Drosophila melanogaster: one gene and its partner. The protein of the gene in region 1 interacts with the protein of each later gene in a pairwise test. Each region holds a gene or a part of one and is shown in the gene's direction. Other genes may lie near its edges.

Evidence for each region.
Region 2: the proteins of how (region 1) and Hydr2 interact in a two-hybrid assay, tested with the Drosophila melanogaster proteins (one large-scale study listed by BioGRID).

Annotation. Positions count from the first base shown.
Region 1 is NT_033777.3:22,038,617-22,045,988, forward strand, and holds the start of how (held out wings), read left to right. Parts: upstream 1-3,574; 5' UTR 3,575-3,739; intron 3,740-4,290; 5' UTR 4,291-4,447; coding exon 4,448-4,763; intron 4,764-7,372. UniProt on the Drosophila melanogaster protein: RNA-binding protein involved in muscle development and dosage compensation. Vital role in steroid regulation of muscle development and to control heart rate.
Region 2 is NT_033779.5:3,160,994-3,171,060, forward strand, and holds Hydr2 (alpha/beta hydrolase2), read left to right. Parts: upstream 1-2,651; 5' UTR 2,652-2,926; coding exon 2,927-3,081; intron 3,082-5,534; exon of another isoform or gene 5,535-5,658; intron 5,659-5,976; coding exon 5,977-6,146; intron 6,147-6,210; coding exon 6,211-6,565; intron 6,566-6,630; coding exon 6,631-6,980; intron 6,981-7,041; coding exon 7,042-7,208; 3' UTR 7,209-8,469; downstream 8,470-10,067. Other genes in the region: gkt (glaikit), read left to right, coding at 1-206, 262-859, 920-1,051; CG44002 (uncharacterized protein), read right to left, coding at 8,921-9,958.

The DNA of each region.
Region 1 (7,372 bases):
CCACGCTCGCCCAGTCCAAGTCCCTCCAAAACGGAGGCGACGCTCTTGTTGGGCCAACTAATCGATGATCGGGCGCTTAATCAATTGCTGGCTTGCGGGCGCCCACTGCAGACTGCATTGGCCAATTGAAACAGCATTGGGCAGCGATCAATTTTCCAATAAAACTCGTTTAGGCCGCCTTTTTGAAGAGATTCCATCACCCACAATACGAAAATATAATTGCGGGCCACCTTGGCTTGAATATAAATTAAACTTTAATCTACAGCAATGTCTCAATATCTAAAATTCGTAGTAGTAGGGTTTGAAGGTAAAAACTAACTTAACTTAACTTAACTTAACTTAAGGTATTTCAGTTTTTAAATTAGTCAAAATTAGAATAAGGCAGCTTTTAGGGATTACGATCATCTTTGTTTTTGAAGTTTCATAAAAGGGATACACCATCTTTCGTTTAAATAATGTTTTGGGCAGGTTTTGGAATTTAAAGAAGTCGATTTTTAAGACATTAGGTATAGAGTAAATAGTAGTTTACCGCCTCTACTTATTGGTTTTTTTTTTTCTACAAACTATGAACTTTGAAATATTTTCAAGTTATCGAATTTCTGTAAGTGCGCAAATTGAATGTTGTTGGCGGCGTGGGCGTGACGAATGTTTGGAGACCACAACGCCGTACGCCCACACGCACACGCCCCCTCCCGTTATACCCACTTGCCACTAGCACTTGTTTCTAAAAGCCAAGTTAACGATGTTTCGGTGAATGAAAAAGCCAACGCGCTCGAGTTTACTCATTCATGAGCACTTTGCGGATCGTGGTTGAATTAGTTTTGGCCAGACTGCGTTTTGTTGGATCCAATCAGCTGGTCGGTCGGGCACAATATGCAAAGTGGAAACTTTATGAATGGATTCGGAAAACGGATGAAGGGGAACGCGGCACGGGTAAGGAGTTTCACCTGTGGGTCGCGGCGCGTGACACAGAAAATGCATTCGCACAGGTGACAAAAATGTGTTTGGAAAAAGCATTGGAAAATCTCATCTTATGAATACACATAAAATCCGTAGATACTATAACAAAATTGTATTCATTGTGAGCATGGTCAAAACCAAACCACTCTGGACACTTTTGTTGCCTGAGCGGGTTGCGTATGTGGTCGAGTGTATCTGACAGATACTTACTATCTGTGTGGGTGTTGCAGTTCGGTTTCTTTGTGGCACCCGAAAACTGACAAACTCAACTGTTGGTAAACCGGTGGCGCCCACACGGCCGCGTCTCATGCGTAATGGAAACAACTGGGAACTGGTTAATGGACGATTGCTGCCTGGCTTTTGGCCAACATATTGCTAATTACACACTCTCACACCACCGGTGGTTTGTTTCTGTGTCGGCGGTAAATTAAGAAAAAGAATGTTTAATTTGTCGTTTAGGCCGCCACAAAGCCGCTAAATGTCTTGGCCAAATTTGCATTCGACACAAACGTGCAGTGGCCAAAAAAGGATTCCCGGGACCAGCAATATAGTGTTAGCGCCGCCTGGCAGGTTGTCAATCTTTGGAACCACTTCTTTTTTAGCAGCCGAATTGGTCAAACAATCGAATTGCATTTGGGTAGCAATATCTCTCTGTTAATAGGCAATGAAAGATTTGTGGGATATTTCCGACTTTAGATTTAGGTTGTTGAACTAATGGTGCATAACCAAAATTTCTGAACTTTTCAGTTTACACAAAACTTGAACCAATTCAAGCATTTTCTCGCCTAACTTTACAGCTGCTGGAAAACTTTTATTTTGCGGCCATTTCGGTTTTCCAAAACCGAAAGTGCCGCCCAAAACGACCCACTCACAATGTAAAACACCACATTCAAAAGGGCAAATTCCAAAAGCACTAGAGAGATTAACGGCCCACGGAAAACTTGGCACTTCGGACTTGGCCAGATGTCCAATGGGCCGATACTGGGCGACGTGGGTGTGCGGATTGGAAAGGGCTTTGGTCTGTGGCCCAGAGATTTAAATCGGATATCCATCCATAGGCATACAATGTCTCAATCGCCACGCACATTGACACATTTTTCAATGGCACTAAAACTGTATAATGGGGCCGTACAACGCATTTAATGTCGGCCCACACACACAGGCCAATTCCGATCGGTTTGAGCCAAGTGCACACAAATTTGGTGGGACTTGTGGCCGGACTGTGAAACTTGGCCAGGTGAGGTCCGGTGGTGGGAGTCTGCTTTCCAATGGAACGACCAATCCGATGTCCATCCACAACTTTGGCCACAACTTTAAACTTTCACGTCTCATTTTGGTGTATGCTGGTTTCAAAAATCGGATCTTGCCCCATGCCTGCCGTTGGCTAGATGTGCCGCCCCAGAAATTTTGGGTTCCGATGGGGAAGACTGTTGCAATGAAGTGATCCTCATACATATATGTATATCAAAATATTGTTGAAGACACAGGCAACACACAATAAGTTCACCGATCCACTGGCATTAAGTGTTGTAATAGTGGAAGGACCTAAATGTGAACAGAACACGAGTAAAATTTTAGAATAAAAGTAGCTTTGTAGACTTAAAAGATTGTTTTATTTTGATACACTTTATCGATAATTAATTATTTTTAGTACGCAATATCTTAATACTGCGTTGAATTTTTGTGAAATTCGCCAACCACACGGAAGCCAGCGAAAAATGTCTTTCGCGATGGAAAGTAAAAGTTGTCGCCGGCCTAGGGTCGCTTATATGGTGCGTCCATCGAAACGCTCGCGAATGCCAATTTTCCCACATACATTTCGCGTTTTGCAGCAGAGTTAACCAAGTTAACACCAACATTTGGCCAGTACGAGTTCGGGGGCTCATTTGCATGGTGTTTTGGACTTGGGGCCCAGATGCCAGCCCCCGCATATGTCCGGCGAAACAAAATGCCGCTTGGTTCTAATCTGCCAGCAATTTCCGTGCGCAATTAATGCCTCCACAGCGCAGTGTCTTAATTAATTCAAAATCAACGCCAACGCGCCAAATTGTGGCCCACCCAGCTACCAGGTGGCAACGCTGAATGTTGTTAGTCAATTAATGCATTAACTAGCCTCCATTTGGAAGAATATTAATGGCCCACCTTTGTATTTAGTTGCTATTAACTTATTTGGCCATTTATTAACTTTTATACTCGCACTTTTGGCTAAAATATGTGTAATATGTTAACCAGCTGCGCAACTCTGTTTGTGCGGAGTGGCAACGCTGATGGGTGATCTCGCATGCTGGCAGTAGGGTGCGAGAGAGCCAAGTCAGAGAGAAACTGACGTCACAAGATGGGTATTGGCGTATTTTTTATGGAAATGGTTATGCAAATATTGACTAAACGTCACCGAGTAGTTAAAAGCACTGATATATTAGAAATTAGTTAATTTAGATCAAAAATACCCCCAAATATATAACCAAATATTGGCTTTTAAATATTTATTAAAAGCAATCGCACTTTGTGACGTCACTGGGCGAGAGAGCAGAGAAACGAGAGCACATTGAAACCACCACCCCACGATCGAACTGGCATGATCTCACACTTACAACGTTTTGTGCTCTTCGCTTCGCATTCAGTTTCTTTTTCTCTTTCTTTGCGCACGGTTCAGTGGTAGGAAAATTAGGAGGAATCGTTCAGTAAAGTCCCGAGATCCGTTCGCTATTCCCCGACTCGAATAAAATCCATATACACATATATCAAATAAACAAAGGATAGGAGTCCTCAGAGAAGAAAAGTGTGTTTAAAAAAAATACTTTCCAAACAAAACGAAATGAATAAAATCCAAAGCCATCCAGTAGCAACAACAAATACATAATCAGCAACTGTGCATATTTCTGCGAGTTTTCTTGCATTTTTAAATCGGTTAAGTGGCCTTGTGCACTCGGTACATCTCCAGGCAAAGGAATTTATACCTTTGTATCTTCAAAACGTAGAAATTTGAATATAAAATTTATTTAAATACTTTTTTGTTGTACTTGCTGTTGCAGCAGCCAAATGAGCGAGGGTGAGAGAGAGAGGCAGCTATTTTGACATTCTGCTTTCATTCATCTCCGTCGCATATACAGTTTTACTGTTTATTGTCCGTGTGTGAGTGAGCGATCGCCGAGGAATTTTCTGCCTTCGCTTTCGACTTGCTGCGCTCTCTCGCTCTCTCAGTATCTCTCGCCCTGCATTGTTGTTGCTGCCGATCGGAAAAAATACTTTTGGGCGGAGTTGTTTTCATTTCGTTTTCCGTTTTTAATATCGCTCGCGTACGAAACTTAATGAATTTCCCAACTCCCACAGTAACGTGTTAAAAGTAGCAAAAACAAATAAAAAAGAAGTGTGCACCAAGTAAAGAAAGCAGAGACCCAAGGAAAGTTGAAAGTTGAAAACCAGAATCTCGTCGAGAACAAAACAAAAAGTTCCCAAAAACCCACACATCACACACGCACGCAACAAAATGAGTGTCTGTGAGAGCAAAGCCGTTGTGCAACAGCAACTGCAGCAGCACTTGCAGCAACAGGCAGCCGCAGCAGTTGTTGCGGTCGCGCAACAGCAGCAGGCTCAAGCCCAAGCCCAGGCTCAGGCTCAGGCACAGCAGCAGCAACAGGCGCCGCAGGTGGTGGTCCCCATGACCCCGCAGCACTTGACCCCACAGCAGCAGCAGCAGAGCACACAGAGCATCGCCGACTATCTGGCCCAGTTGCTCAAGGACCGCAAGCAACTGGCCGCCTTCCCCAACGTCTTCACCCACGTCGAACGCCTGCTGGACGAAGGTAAGTCGCTAAAACTCAAACCGAGTGAGATCCCTCCAAGTCACAGCATCATCCTAATCCCGGATCCAAGACTCAGCGGAAGGATAACGATCACTAGCTAGCCTTTTCTGAATCAAACGATAAACCCAGTTACTGTTTGTTATTGTGATAATATCCTTTTATTCATCAAACACTTTACAGTACCATTAGGAAATTGTTATATATAATAAATGTGATGAAATGTGGTGAAAGAAGAAATTTGGATATTCTTGTTATAATGTTCAGATATTTAACTCTAGAATGTATTAGAACTTTGTGTTTGTATTCCAAAAATTCATGAAAAGAACATTAAACTATTGTAGTATACAAATCGATGCCATTACAGTTTGGTTTATATCTTTTTTAATTGTTCAAAAAATATTTGCAAAGCACTTTAATTCCGAGAATCTGGCGGGATTTATTGTAAACATGTATTACAGAGACTGTAGGTATTTAGAACACATTTGGGTAAATGGGAGAGTTTAAATGAGTATATATGTTATTTTAAAGTGGTGACTTCATTTTCAATCGTGTGTGCCAGGCGTGTTAATGATTAGGGTGCCTCTAACCAAGTGATCACTGTAGTTCAATCAGTTTTGGGGCATGGATCTCTGGGTGTCTGGTTTGTCTCCTCGGCGTCTCCTTTTCGGCATCTTCTCCATCGCGGGTTCTGAGTTCATTCCACCTTACAAACCGAAACGAGATGTTTGTTATTTTTAGTTACTTCCTTTTTGTGCGCCTCTTCGCGGAGCGCACACTACTTACACCTCTCTCCGGGCTCTCTCCTTTTGTATTCTTGGCTCCACACTTGACTGCCAGTGCAGCCTTTGTTGTTCTCATTATGAATTCTTTGTTGACTCGGCCATTCGTAAACCAAAAAGGAGGGAGGCTTGGATTTTGAGAGACGCAGAAGGAGATGCGAAACCCCAGGGGGGGAACCCCCAACAAAGATAGAAACATTAATGTGGTGTGGTATTATGTGATAAGAGATCATTTTATTCACAAGCATGTATGAATTTATACATATGCTAAAAGTTTTAAAATTTTCGAATCTGGAATATTATTGGATCCATTTAATGATCTGCTTTGCTCTGTGCACTGAACGTGTAGCAAACTTATCTGAAAGAGGAAAAATGTACCTCAACTGCCCACGCTTTGCCTCGAAAACCAAAAAAATCAAAAAAAAAGAAAATATGAATAAATATACGGCAACGAAGCAAAAACTCTTAAAGGCAAGCCAACAAAAGTCAACTTTCGGGGCGGGATAGGGGCGGTATAGGGGCAGGGGCGTGGCACTACCTGGTCGCATCTTGTATCTTGTATCTGGCATATCGGAGCTCTCGTTTCTGTATTTGCCCAACATCTGTTGCCCATATGCAGGCCGGCCAAGAGGGTGTGTGTCGCCTCGTAATGACAAAATTATGTTGCACAGATACACAGATTCAGATACTGGTGCGGTATTTGCGGATTGCAAGGTACCGCTAGATGGCCAGAGTACACTTATTATGTACAGCGTATGTTTGGATTACTTTAATATACGTTTTTTTTTACCATATTGCTTAATCAATTTGTTTATAATTGCTACTACAATTTAAATTACATTTAATTATTGCAATTAAACTTGAAATGTGATAGCAAATGGTCTGTATAATAAGATGCAAGATCTTGATTTCTCTCTTCATTTGGAAAATATCCAAGAAGTCGGTGGTCTTATCTAGACCAATCAGATTATTGATTACCAGGTACCAGGAGGTATCGCACTGTCGGAAAACTCGCCCAAAAGCTTATATTCTTGTTTTGGTTTCGTCTCGGCATAACTGCAAACTAGTTTGCCTGTCTACAAATTGTATTTGCTAAAAGCAAAGCGTTGACAATTTGTAAAACTCGTTCCACCAGACTACAAAATCCAAAGAGCTGAAAAAATACGCAAAACAAAATACAGATTTCAAACCCACCTCGTTGGCTTATCAGCTTAGTGGGAGGGTGTCGGACTGGATTTGGGATTTGAGATTTGGGACCTGGGAACCCGAGTGGCGTTCACTATTTACGAATACTGACCGTATTCGACTGCGCTAACTTGGACCGACCGCTAACGGCTTTCAACTTTTCAACTTGCTAGAAGTTTTTGTTTTTTTTTTTCTCTTTTTGCAACTTTCTCTTTTCAATTGCTGTCGTCGCTGGGCTGTGTTTTTGTTTTCGTTAGCTTGACATGCGGGCCAAATCCAAACCCCAACCCCACATTCACATGGGGTTATTTGGGCAACTCCAACATTTTTTATGTTTTGCCCTTTTCCCAGAGGGTGCCAAATTTATTATCCGTACTGCCACGACTGGAATTTTATATGTCATTTCGTTGATTCTTTTAACCTATTTCCCTTGGCTTTCATGAGTTTGCTTTTGATGAAATCCCAAATTCGAACGTATTACGAACTGCTTAAATCAATGTCATCTTTGATTTTAATACGTATGTACTTAACTTTATTTGATCCATGCGTGGAATTCGAAAACATTCGCCTATCAAATTGCCATTTTATTATAATTTTACTTTAATCATTCTGAGAACACATATACAATATGTTGACTTTTGATGT
Region 2 (10,067 bases), on another chromosome or scaffold:
CTGTACGAGGACGACTGGCACAATCGCACGCAGGGCCTGTGGATCAGTCCCAAGCTGCCTGCTCTGCCGGTCGATGCGGATACGGGCGCTGGCGAAAGTCTGACGGGCTTCAAACAGGATCTGATGCTGTACTTGGTGGAGTACAAGATAAGCCAGCTGCAGCCTTGGATAGCAAGGATTCGGAACAGTGATTTCAGTGCCATCAAGTAGGACACAACCTAAGTATTGTAGATTTAATCTATCAATTGTTTCCCTCCGCAGCGTTTTCTTCTTGGGCTCTGTGCCCGGAGGTCATCGCGAGGGCAGCGTGCGTGGTCATCCATGGGGCCACGCCCGCTTGGCCTCCTTGCTCGCCAAACACGCGGCGCCCATCGACGATCGCATACCGGTCGTCTGCCAGAGCTCGAGCATCGGCAGCCTGGGAGCCAACGTGCAGGCCTGGATTCAGCAGGATTTCGTCAATAGCCTGAAGAAGGATTCCACGCCTGTGGGCAAGCTGCGCCAGATGCCGCCCTTCAAGATGATCTATCCCAGCTACGGCAACGTCGCGGGCAGTCATGATGGAATGCTGGGCGGCGGGTGTTTGCCCTACGGCAAGAACACCAACGATAAGCAGCCATGGCTCAAGGACTATCTGCAGCAATGGAAGTCCAGCGATCGCTTTCGCTCGCGGGCAATGCCGCACATCAAGAGCTATACGCGCTTCAATCTGGAGGATCAGTCGGTGTACTGGTTCGTTTTAACCTCGGCGAATCTCTCGAAGGCAGCCTGGGGCTGCTTTAACAAAAACTCGAATATCCAACCCTGCCTGAGGATCGCCAACTATGAGGCTGGCGTCCTATTCCTGCCCAGATTTGTGGTAGGTCTTGTGAGATTTTTGAATCAAAGTCCATTGCAACTGGTGCTCTTTGCTTTCCAGACTGGCGAGGACACCTTTCCTTTGGGTAACAATCGTGATGGAGTGCCAGCGTTTCCGCTACCATACGACGTTCCATTGACGCCCTATGCTCCAGATGATAAGCCCTTCCTGATGGATTACCTACAAGGTTGAGATTAAGATACGTCTTATAAGGCCTCACAAATGGCTTTTGAATTCGTTGAAATATCTGGTCTATGGCAACTATTCACGTTTGAATCAGTTACTTTTATTTATTTACTGCACATTAAATTAAGGAAATTTAATTTGCGATCCTATTTTTGGATTCAGGCATCTTTTTTTTTCGGTAAATGTCCAATTCTGCCCATACTTCTTGGATCGGAGTGCTAATTCTGTTTGCACCGCAGGTAAAACCATCAAGTTCACTCAGTTTTCAGTACCATAATTTATTGTCCTTACTTATATTACTAAAACTAAATCAAAAGATTTAATGTTATATATTCATTGCATTAAAATTGTAATAACAACCAATACTTTGTTTTGGACAGCATTTTAAATGCGTACATTTTGGCGGCAAAGCATAAAATACTATAAGTGTGCAACCGATAGTTGCGCAGCTCCGCCCACGCAGTTGGTATTTTCGCATGGCCTCGCCCGCGGTCACACCACATCTGGCAGATTTCGTCAATAGCCTGAAGAAGGATTCCACGCCTGTGGGCAAGCTGCGCCAGATGCCGCCCTTCAAGATGATCTATCCCAGCTACGGCAACGTCGCGGGCAGTCATGATGGAATGCTGGGCGGCGGGTGTTTGCCCTACGGCAAGAACACCAACGATAAGCAGCCATGGCTCAAGGACTATCTGCAGCAATGGAAGTCCAGCGATCGCTTTCGCTCGCGGGCAATGCCGCACATCAAGAGCTATACGCGCTTCAATCTGGAGGATCAGTCGGTGTACTGGTTCGTTTTAACCTCGGCGAATCTCTCGAAGGCAGCCTGGGGCTGCTTTAACAAAAACTCGAATATCCAACCCTGCCTGAGGATCGCCAACTATGAGGCTGGCGTCCTATTCCTGCCCAGATTTGTGGTAGGTCTTGTGAGATTTTTGAATCAAAGTCCATTGCAACTGGTGCTCTTTGCTTTCCAGACTGGCGAGGACACCTTTCCTTTGGGTAACAATCGTGATGGAGTGCCAGCGTTTCCGCTACCATACGACGTTCCATTGACGCCCTATGCTCCAGATGATAAGCCCTTCCTGATGGATTACCTACAAGGTTGAGATTAAGATACGTCTTATAAGGCCTCACAAATGGCTTTTGAATTCGTTGAAATATCTGGTCTATGGCAACTATTCACGTTTGAATCAGTTACTTTTATTTATTTACTGCACATTAAATTAAGGAAATTTAATTTGCGATCCTATTTTTGGATTCAGGCATCTTTTTTTTTCGGTAAATGTCCAATTCTGCCCATACTTCTTGGATCGGAGTGCTAATTCTGTTTGCACCGCAGGTAAAACCATCAAGTTCACTCAGTTTTCAGTACCATAATTTATTGTCCTTACTTATATTACTAAAACTAAATCAAAAGATTTAATGTTATATATTCATTGCATTAAAATTGTAATAACAACCAATACTTTGTTTTGGACAGCATTTTAAATGCGTACATTTTGGCGGCAAAGCATAAAATACTATAAGTGTGCAACCGATAGTTGCGCAGCTCCGCCCACGCAGTTGGTATTTTCGCATGGCCTCGCCCGCGGTCACACCACATCTGGCAGTTGAAAAAAATCGCAGCAGGCGAATTTTCGGAAATTTCGAGCAGCATTTAAATCCGGTTCTCGTGGAAAGTGTTAACTTATTTACGCCAGCCAAAAAACGTAGCAAACGCACATAGAAAGGACGAAAGCAACGCAGATTGCCCTGGGAAACACGAAGAGAAGCCGCAAGGAGGCGCGCCAAATAGCAGGATAAGTGGAGTTCGATTGGATGACAAGGCGGGTCACTTCCTCGGATCCTGGCTAAAAACTCGCAGCACCCAGCGCCACCATGTCCACCGCCTTCCTTACCCTCATCGCCGTCATCGTGTGCATCCTGTTCCGCATCCTTAATGTTCACAGCCAGCCGCTGAAGCCCAGTGTGTGGTGCCTTGATGCCCACTTCCTCGACTGCCTCTACAAGATCGCGCCCGTCCTAAGGGAACCGTAAGTAATCCGGGAACAAGTGTCATTAAATCATGTGCTAATCATCATTTGCTCTTTTTTTTCCTCATTTTCATAACACATTCAGGGTCACAGGTGTGGCCAAAATTATAGCAACCTTCAGTTCTTGTAGGGTTATATTGTTTCGAAATCGATATAAGAGTACAAAACTGAACTATGGATTCCTGTTTTAATGGAATAAACTTAATATACTCACGTTTCAAGGAGCTTAATAAAGTTTGTAGAAGATTGTATTGCCATCGCAGCTGAGTTGCTAACAATGTCATCAGCATCACAGTCGCGCCAAAATATTAGTTACCTCAGGTTTCATAATTGTGCCAGTCGGTTTCGCTGATAAGCAAATCAGCAATCACCTCAAATTACTTTAAACCGCCAATTAAGTAGCATGTTCAAACTGAAAGCCATTGTTTCACGCAGTCCGTCGAATTTCCCAGCTGGCGAATGAATCATGAATGGCAAATTAGTCAATAAAACTGATGTCGCTGTCTAAGCAATTCAGTAACTCATCAGTAACTATCTATGTATGTCTACGAAATGCAGCTACAAACCCATTGATTAAATGCAATTCCAACACTTTGATGCGCACTATCAGTCAATAAATAGGTTGGTGTGTTCAATATATGCACCCCTCTATAAAATAGAGAGCACTCCTTCCTGTCTGAGGTTTCGTTATCGGTGATATAGTAAGTCTTACTCATTATACATGTACATCTGCGGTCACGGGCTAAAAATATTTCAATAGGTTATCTTGGGTGTAGAAATTGTTTTAAATTGGGAATTGTATTTGCCAGTTTAGCGGAGGTTATCAGCAGCGAACCGATAGAGAAATCAAGTTTAATGGCACAAATATTCATTAACTTTTATCACTTCCTTGATAAACATTTCTTCTCGCTGCCTGGAAAATTTTCATTCGATTTTCATTATTTTGTGTAAATCTGTGAATGCCCGCTGGGTTTCTCCTTCGTTGACCAGGAGCCGCATAAATAAATAGAATTTTTCTTTCGTTTTTAATTTACTTTTTTTTTTTGAAACACGTCTGCCAGCAGTCGCGATAAGGATTAATAACAATATAGCTCAAAGTTCGCCCCGCAATTACGCAGTTGAGACAGCGACTAACGCCTAGCAACCCGATTTTGGCCACAAATTTCCCCTGCCACTCGATAATCGCGTGGGGGTTTCCTCATACATATATTGTATGGAAATGTAGGTTGATAATGAAAAGATTGCCGGCGAATTGTTGGCGCAGTTTATTTCTTTTTGGCACTTTGGCTGATTCAAATGCCGGCACACTACCTGTGAATGTTTTGGCTTTCTGCCCAGTCAATCTGCCGCTTTTGTTTGACAACAAAGATTGCGTAAGCAGAGTTCTCTCGACTGCTGCGCTGCTGCTTTCTACCCCCGCTCACCTGTGTTTTCTCACCTGACAAACCGGTTGAAAGGTGAGATATACTCGGCTAAAAAGCCGGAGGGCCTGTTAATTTCCGTCATCTTCCTGTGCATTTGTTCTACCCACGAAAAGACCAGAAATGCTATTGAAATTTTAACAATAGAGCTCGTTTTCTAGTGTAGTTAATTTTTTCGGATTTTATTTTCAATAGGCGGTGCATTTATATAGTTGTAAACTCTTACTTGAAGTTACTTTTCCTCATTTTATAAAAAAGGGCATTTAAGCTAAGTAAATAGTTACGTAGAAAATTTGCAAAATGGGCTCATAAACAGTGGGATTATAGTGGGCTATTATTCATTCTTATATCAGAACACAAACATAGTAAGTTTATGTTGGGCAAAGATCAAGTGTCAAAAGGTTCCACAGGCTTCTAATTTCCGTGAAGACGATTGTTTTAGAGGTGCGCCGTTGATAGAAACCCAGGGTGATGACTCATTAGCACCGTGTGCTGCTCGTTTTTAGCTGACAACTTGAAGGTGGGAAAGAATTGCAGCTGTTTTTGCCTTTAGGCTTGCGAACTCTAAACGACACATTAACTTTTAATGATATATTTCTACATATATATATGCATGCGAGGGCACATTATTCACTAAGTGTCATTCATATTGATTACTGTTGGGAAATTCATGCTTGAAACTGATTAAAAATTGAAAAGCCAGATACGCCGGCATTTGTGCCTGTTCCCAAAGTGGCCACGCCCCTGCCCACAAACCATTTCACCATTTTACTTTGATTGATACTAATTGAATGGCTACTGTTGCTGAGCTCACAAGTGGATACACAAAATTGTATCACGTTTTTGCACGGCTGACATGATTTCTGATACACGCAGGAAAAAAATGCATTGTAAAATGCTTAAATCAACTCAATCAAATAGGGCTTGATTTGGAAACAGAAGGCTTTGCAGAAAAGGAAGAATATACCCCCATTTACCCTGTTGATTCTAAATTCTAAAAATATACCTTTCAATTGAAAATACCTTTGGCAGAGAACATCCGACTTTCTCCATCCAATTCTGGTGTAGCTGCGTGCACTCAATTAGGTTCAATTGGTTCTAATGCTGTTTGCTGAATTGCGGCTTTGTGCATTTGGTGGCATTCTCTTTCGAATTTGTAAGTCATCGCATTAAAAAACTTGGACGTAGATCAAAATTCAATTTGTATAAATAATACGAGTATTTGCGCAAATTTGGCAAATTGCCTGCTAACTAAACTGGAAGCAATTGTGCGCAGATTTATCATTGCCATAATTCACAGTGCAATGTCAAGGGCAAACAAGATCGGAATAAAATGAAATATATTCATATAGCTTGCCAACGGAAAAGAAGTAGCTTAATCAACATTTATAATAGGTTTACGACCCATGCAATAATTGCTGATTAAAGAATCTAAAGTACGTTATAATAATCCCATTCTTTTCACTCTTTCCAGATACATTCCCCCGCGACTTTGGGGCTTTAGTGGCCATGTGCAGACGGTCTTGCACAGCATTGTTGGCCGGGTACGATGTCCCTGGCCACTCGGAGAACGTGTTTACATGTCGCTAAAGGATGGCTCCACATTGACCTACGACTTGTACCAGCCACTCAACGAACAGGAGGGTAAGAGTTAGGCAGCCTAATCCCGATGCATTGCCTGTACTAAATGTATTCAACACTCCCACAGATGACATCACGGTGGCCATTTGCCCGGGCATCGCCAACAGCTCGGAATCGGTGTACATTCGCACCTTCGTGCACTTGGCCCAGTGCAATGGATACCGCTGTGCGGTGCTAAATCACATTGGCGCACTGCGCAGTGTCCAGGTGACCTCCACACGCATTTTCACCTACGGCCACACGGAGGATTTCGCGGCCATGGTAGAGCATTTGCACCAGAAGTACCGCCAAAGTCGAATTGTCGCGGTTGGTTTCAGTCTGGGCGGCAATCTGGTCACCAAGTACATGGGCGAGGACCAGAAGACAAAGCCAGACAAGGTCATTGGAGGCATATCCATATGTCAAGGCTACAATGCCGTCGAGTGAGTTGCTATTCAAACTATTAATATAGGAAATCAGAGCTAAATACTTAATAATTATATTGCAGAGGCACCAAGTGGCTGCTCAACTGGCAGAATTTCCGCCGCTTTTACCTATACATCATGACTGAGAACGTAAAGAGCATTATCCTGCGACATCGACATATCCTCCTGTCCGACGAGGTCAAGGCTCGGCATAATCTCAACGAGCGCGAAATCATCGCGGCTGCCACTCTGCCCGAGTTGGATGAGGCTTACACGCGGAGAGTGTACAACTTTCCCTCCACCCAGGAGTTGTACAAGTGGAGCTCGTCGCTGTTTTACTTCGATACGATCAAGAAGCCAATGATCTTCATCAACGCCAAGGATGATCCCTTGATCCCGGAGGATTTGCTGCATCCCATCAAGGAGTATGCCAGTAAGTAGAAAGTTCTTTGCTTGCTATCACGTTGCTTATTGCTTAATCTTTCTCCCCTCAGCGACGCGTCAAAACACCGCCTATGTGGAGGTGGCCCATGGCGGTCATCTGGGCTTCTATGAGGGCGGCTTCCTGTACCCGAACCCTGTCACTTGGCTGGACCGTACGCTTGTGGCGATGGTTGGGTCCTTGGTCATGATGCACGAAGTCGGCAAGGTGGCCCCTTAGGCCTGGTTGCTATTTTCACACGCATACACGACTATTTAACGCTTCTGTGTCAAAATTGGTTGTCGCTGTCGAATATAAATCTTTGAAGAACCATCGGAACGGAAGAGAGCCCGAAAGACCCCATACATATAGTTCTAACATATGATATCGTTGTGCAGCAATTATAAATTATCAGCCGCGCAAGCATAAATTGATGTATACTTTTGCAAAGTGCATTTAAAACAGAAATTGTAGTTTTTTGAGAACGATTTTTATGCTTTTTAATGACTTTTTGAAGAGCCAAACATACAATGTATCAGTTGAACTCGTACCTTAGTTAGTTAACGCGACCACATGTATCCATGTACTTATGTCTAAGCAAATTCCTATTTATTAGCATTTTCCTTTGTGATCTAACAGTTTTTAATTACGTACATTTTTATATGTGAAATGTACACCACACGCCGCACACAATATACGATGTATGACAGTAATTATAAATTATAAGTCCTCGACCGCACCACAAGCATATAAAATAGCAAGAATATTGCCTTAGTGTAGACCTCGTTTTGTATGTGTGAATATGATTTGAACTATTCATTTTGTACTATGATGCATTTCACGGAAATCAAAGAGAAACCAAATGAAAGTTTGCCCAACGTCGGCTTCATTTTTGTATACTTTTTCTGAACTTTACCAAGTTGATAGTCAGATTTGTTTACCAATGTAGTGGAGTGGAGAATATTTATAAATGTATTTGTAAATGTATTTATAAATGTATATTGAAACAAATAAATAACAGTTGGACAAAAATATTCCCTTTATTTCACTTTTGATTTTTCCATATTTCAAATTTCGCTGTTAAATCGGTTACAGTTTCTCTACACCTAAGCTAACACTGGATTTGACATCACTAGTTGCAAGAAATGTACACCACACGCCGCACACAATATACGATGTATGACAGTAATTATAAATTATAAGTCCTCGACCGCACCACAAGCATATAAAATAGCAAGAATATTGCCTTAGTGTAGACCTCGTTTTGTATGTGTGAATATGATTTGAACTATTCATTTTGTACTATGATGCATTTCACGGAAATCAAAGAGAAACCAAATGAAAGTTTGCCCAACGTCGGCTTCATTTTTGTATACTTTTTCTGAACTTTACCAAGTTGATAGTCAGATTTGTTTACCAATGTAGTGGAGTGGAGAATATTTATAAATGTATTTGTAAATGTATTTATAAATGTATAATGAAACAAATAAATAACAGTTGGACAAAAATATTCCCTTTATTTCACTTTTGATTTTTCCATATTTCAAATTTCGCTGTTAAATCGGTTACAGTTTCTCTACACCTAAGCTAACACTGGATTTGACATCACTAGTTGCAAGAGCAGTCGTGGCCGAGCGGTTAAGGCGTCTGACTAGAAATCAGATTCCCTCTGGGAGCGTAGGTTCGAATCCTACCGACTGCGATGACAAGAGTTACTTTTTTGTTTTTAACTTTTTGCCCAAAAGAACAATTTTAAGGTTATTAATTTGATCCTTTTTCATAATGTTTCAAAGAATGTTGTGCTAGATTTGTGTGTTTGCTTTCATATAAATATTCTATTGGAATATTAAGATTTTTTAAATATATCCCAGATGGTATTCATTTTTATTGAGCGTTTTATACTTATACCTAAAAAAAATAATTAATTTTTAAATGTTTAAACTAAATGAAGCTTAAGATATAGCCGCGTTCTCGACCTTGTCCGTATGGCAAAGCTTTACATGCCTACGCAGACCTTTTGGTTGGCGGAAACGCCGCTCGCATTGGGAACACTTGAATCGCTTTTCTGCGGTGTGGCTCATCATGTGCTTCCGAGCATCTGACCGCTCCCGGAAGAACTTATCGCACATATCGCACTTGTACGGTCTTTCTCCTGTGTGAATTCGAATGTGCTGCCTTAGAGCAGATCCATCCGAGAAGGCCGACTGGCAGGTAAGGCACTTGAATGGTCTTTCTCCCGTGTGAGTCCTTAGATGTCTTTTGACGGAAGCAAGATCCGCAAATGGCTTTTGGCAAATTTCGCAGGCGAAGGGTTTTTCCCCCGTGTGGGTCTTTTGGTGGCGGACACAGCTTGCTTTGCTGCAGAAGGTCTTGTTACAAAGGCGGCAGGTGTGCGTAGAATTCCTTGAAAGCTGTCTGGCTTTCGTCCTCAACTCTTCTTTGACCGCGTGCTCGCTGGTGGAGGACATTGGACGGGGTCCGTCCGTTGTGTGGTGTCGCAGGATGTGTAGCTCTAGGAGACCAGGTCTCCGAAAGGACATGTGACACTGTGTGCAGATGTGACCCTTATCCTCGGAAACATTGTCGGATTGAGCAGTTTTAGATTCTTCCTGGGTGCTGACTTCATTCGTAGGTGCCTTGTTTTCACTCAAATGAACTTTCTCCTCTTGTTCATCGATGAGTATTACCTCGTCGGAGTCTGATAGCTCGATGATTACATCCTCCGAGAGTTCTTCCTCGAGAACCGTGTCCTGCACTTCATAGAAGACCTGGTAGCTGCGTTCGTAGGTTTTTATGATCGTAAACGCATTGTGGGCATCCTTCACACATGGTGGGCATATTGAGTGCGGTAATGAGTCCCCTTTTTCAACTTTGAAGCCGGTGCATTCAATTATCATATGGGCTATTGAAACTGGAAGATCCTGCCTTTCCTCGAAAATGTTCACCATGTTTTTTGAGCTTGCCAGGCAAACTCGACACTTGTTCTCCATTACCCTGTATTTTAATAAACCTTGGCCGCCTATACAAATCGATCAAAGGTAATTACAAATAAATATGTAGTGGTATTTTAAATATTTTCAAATTAAATGAGACGGTTTA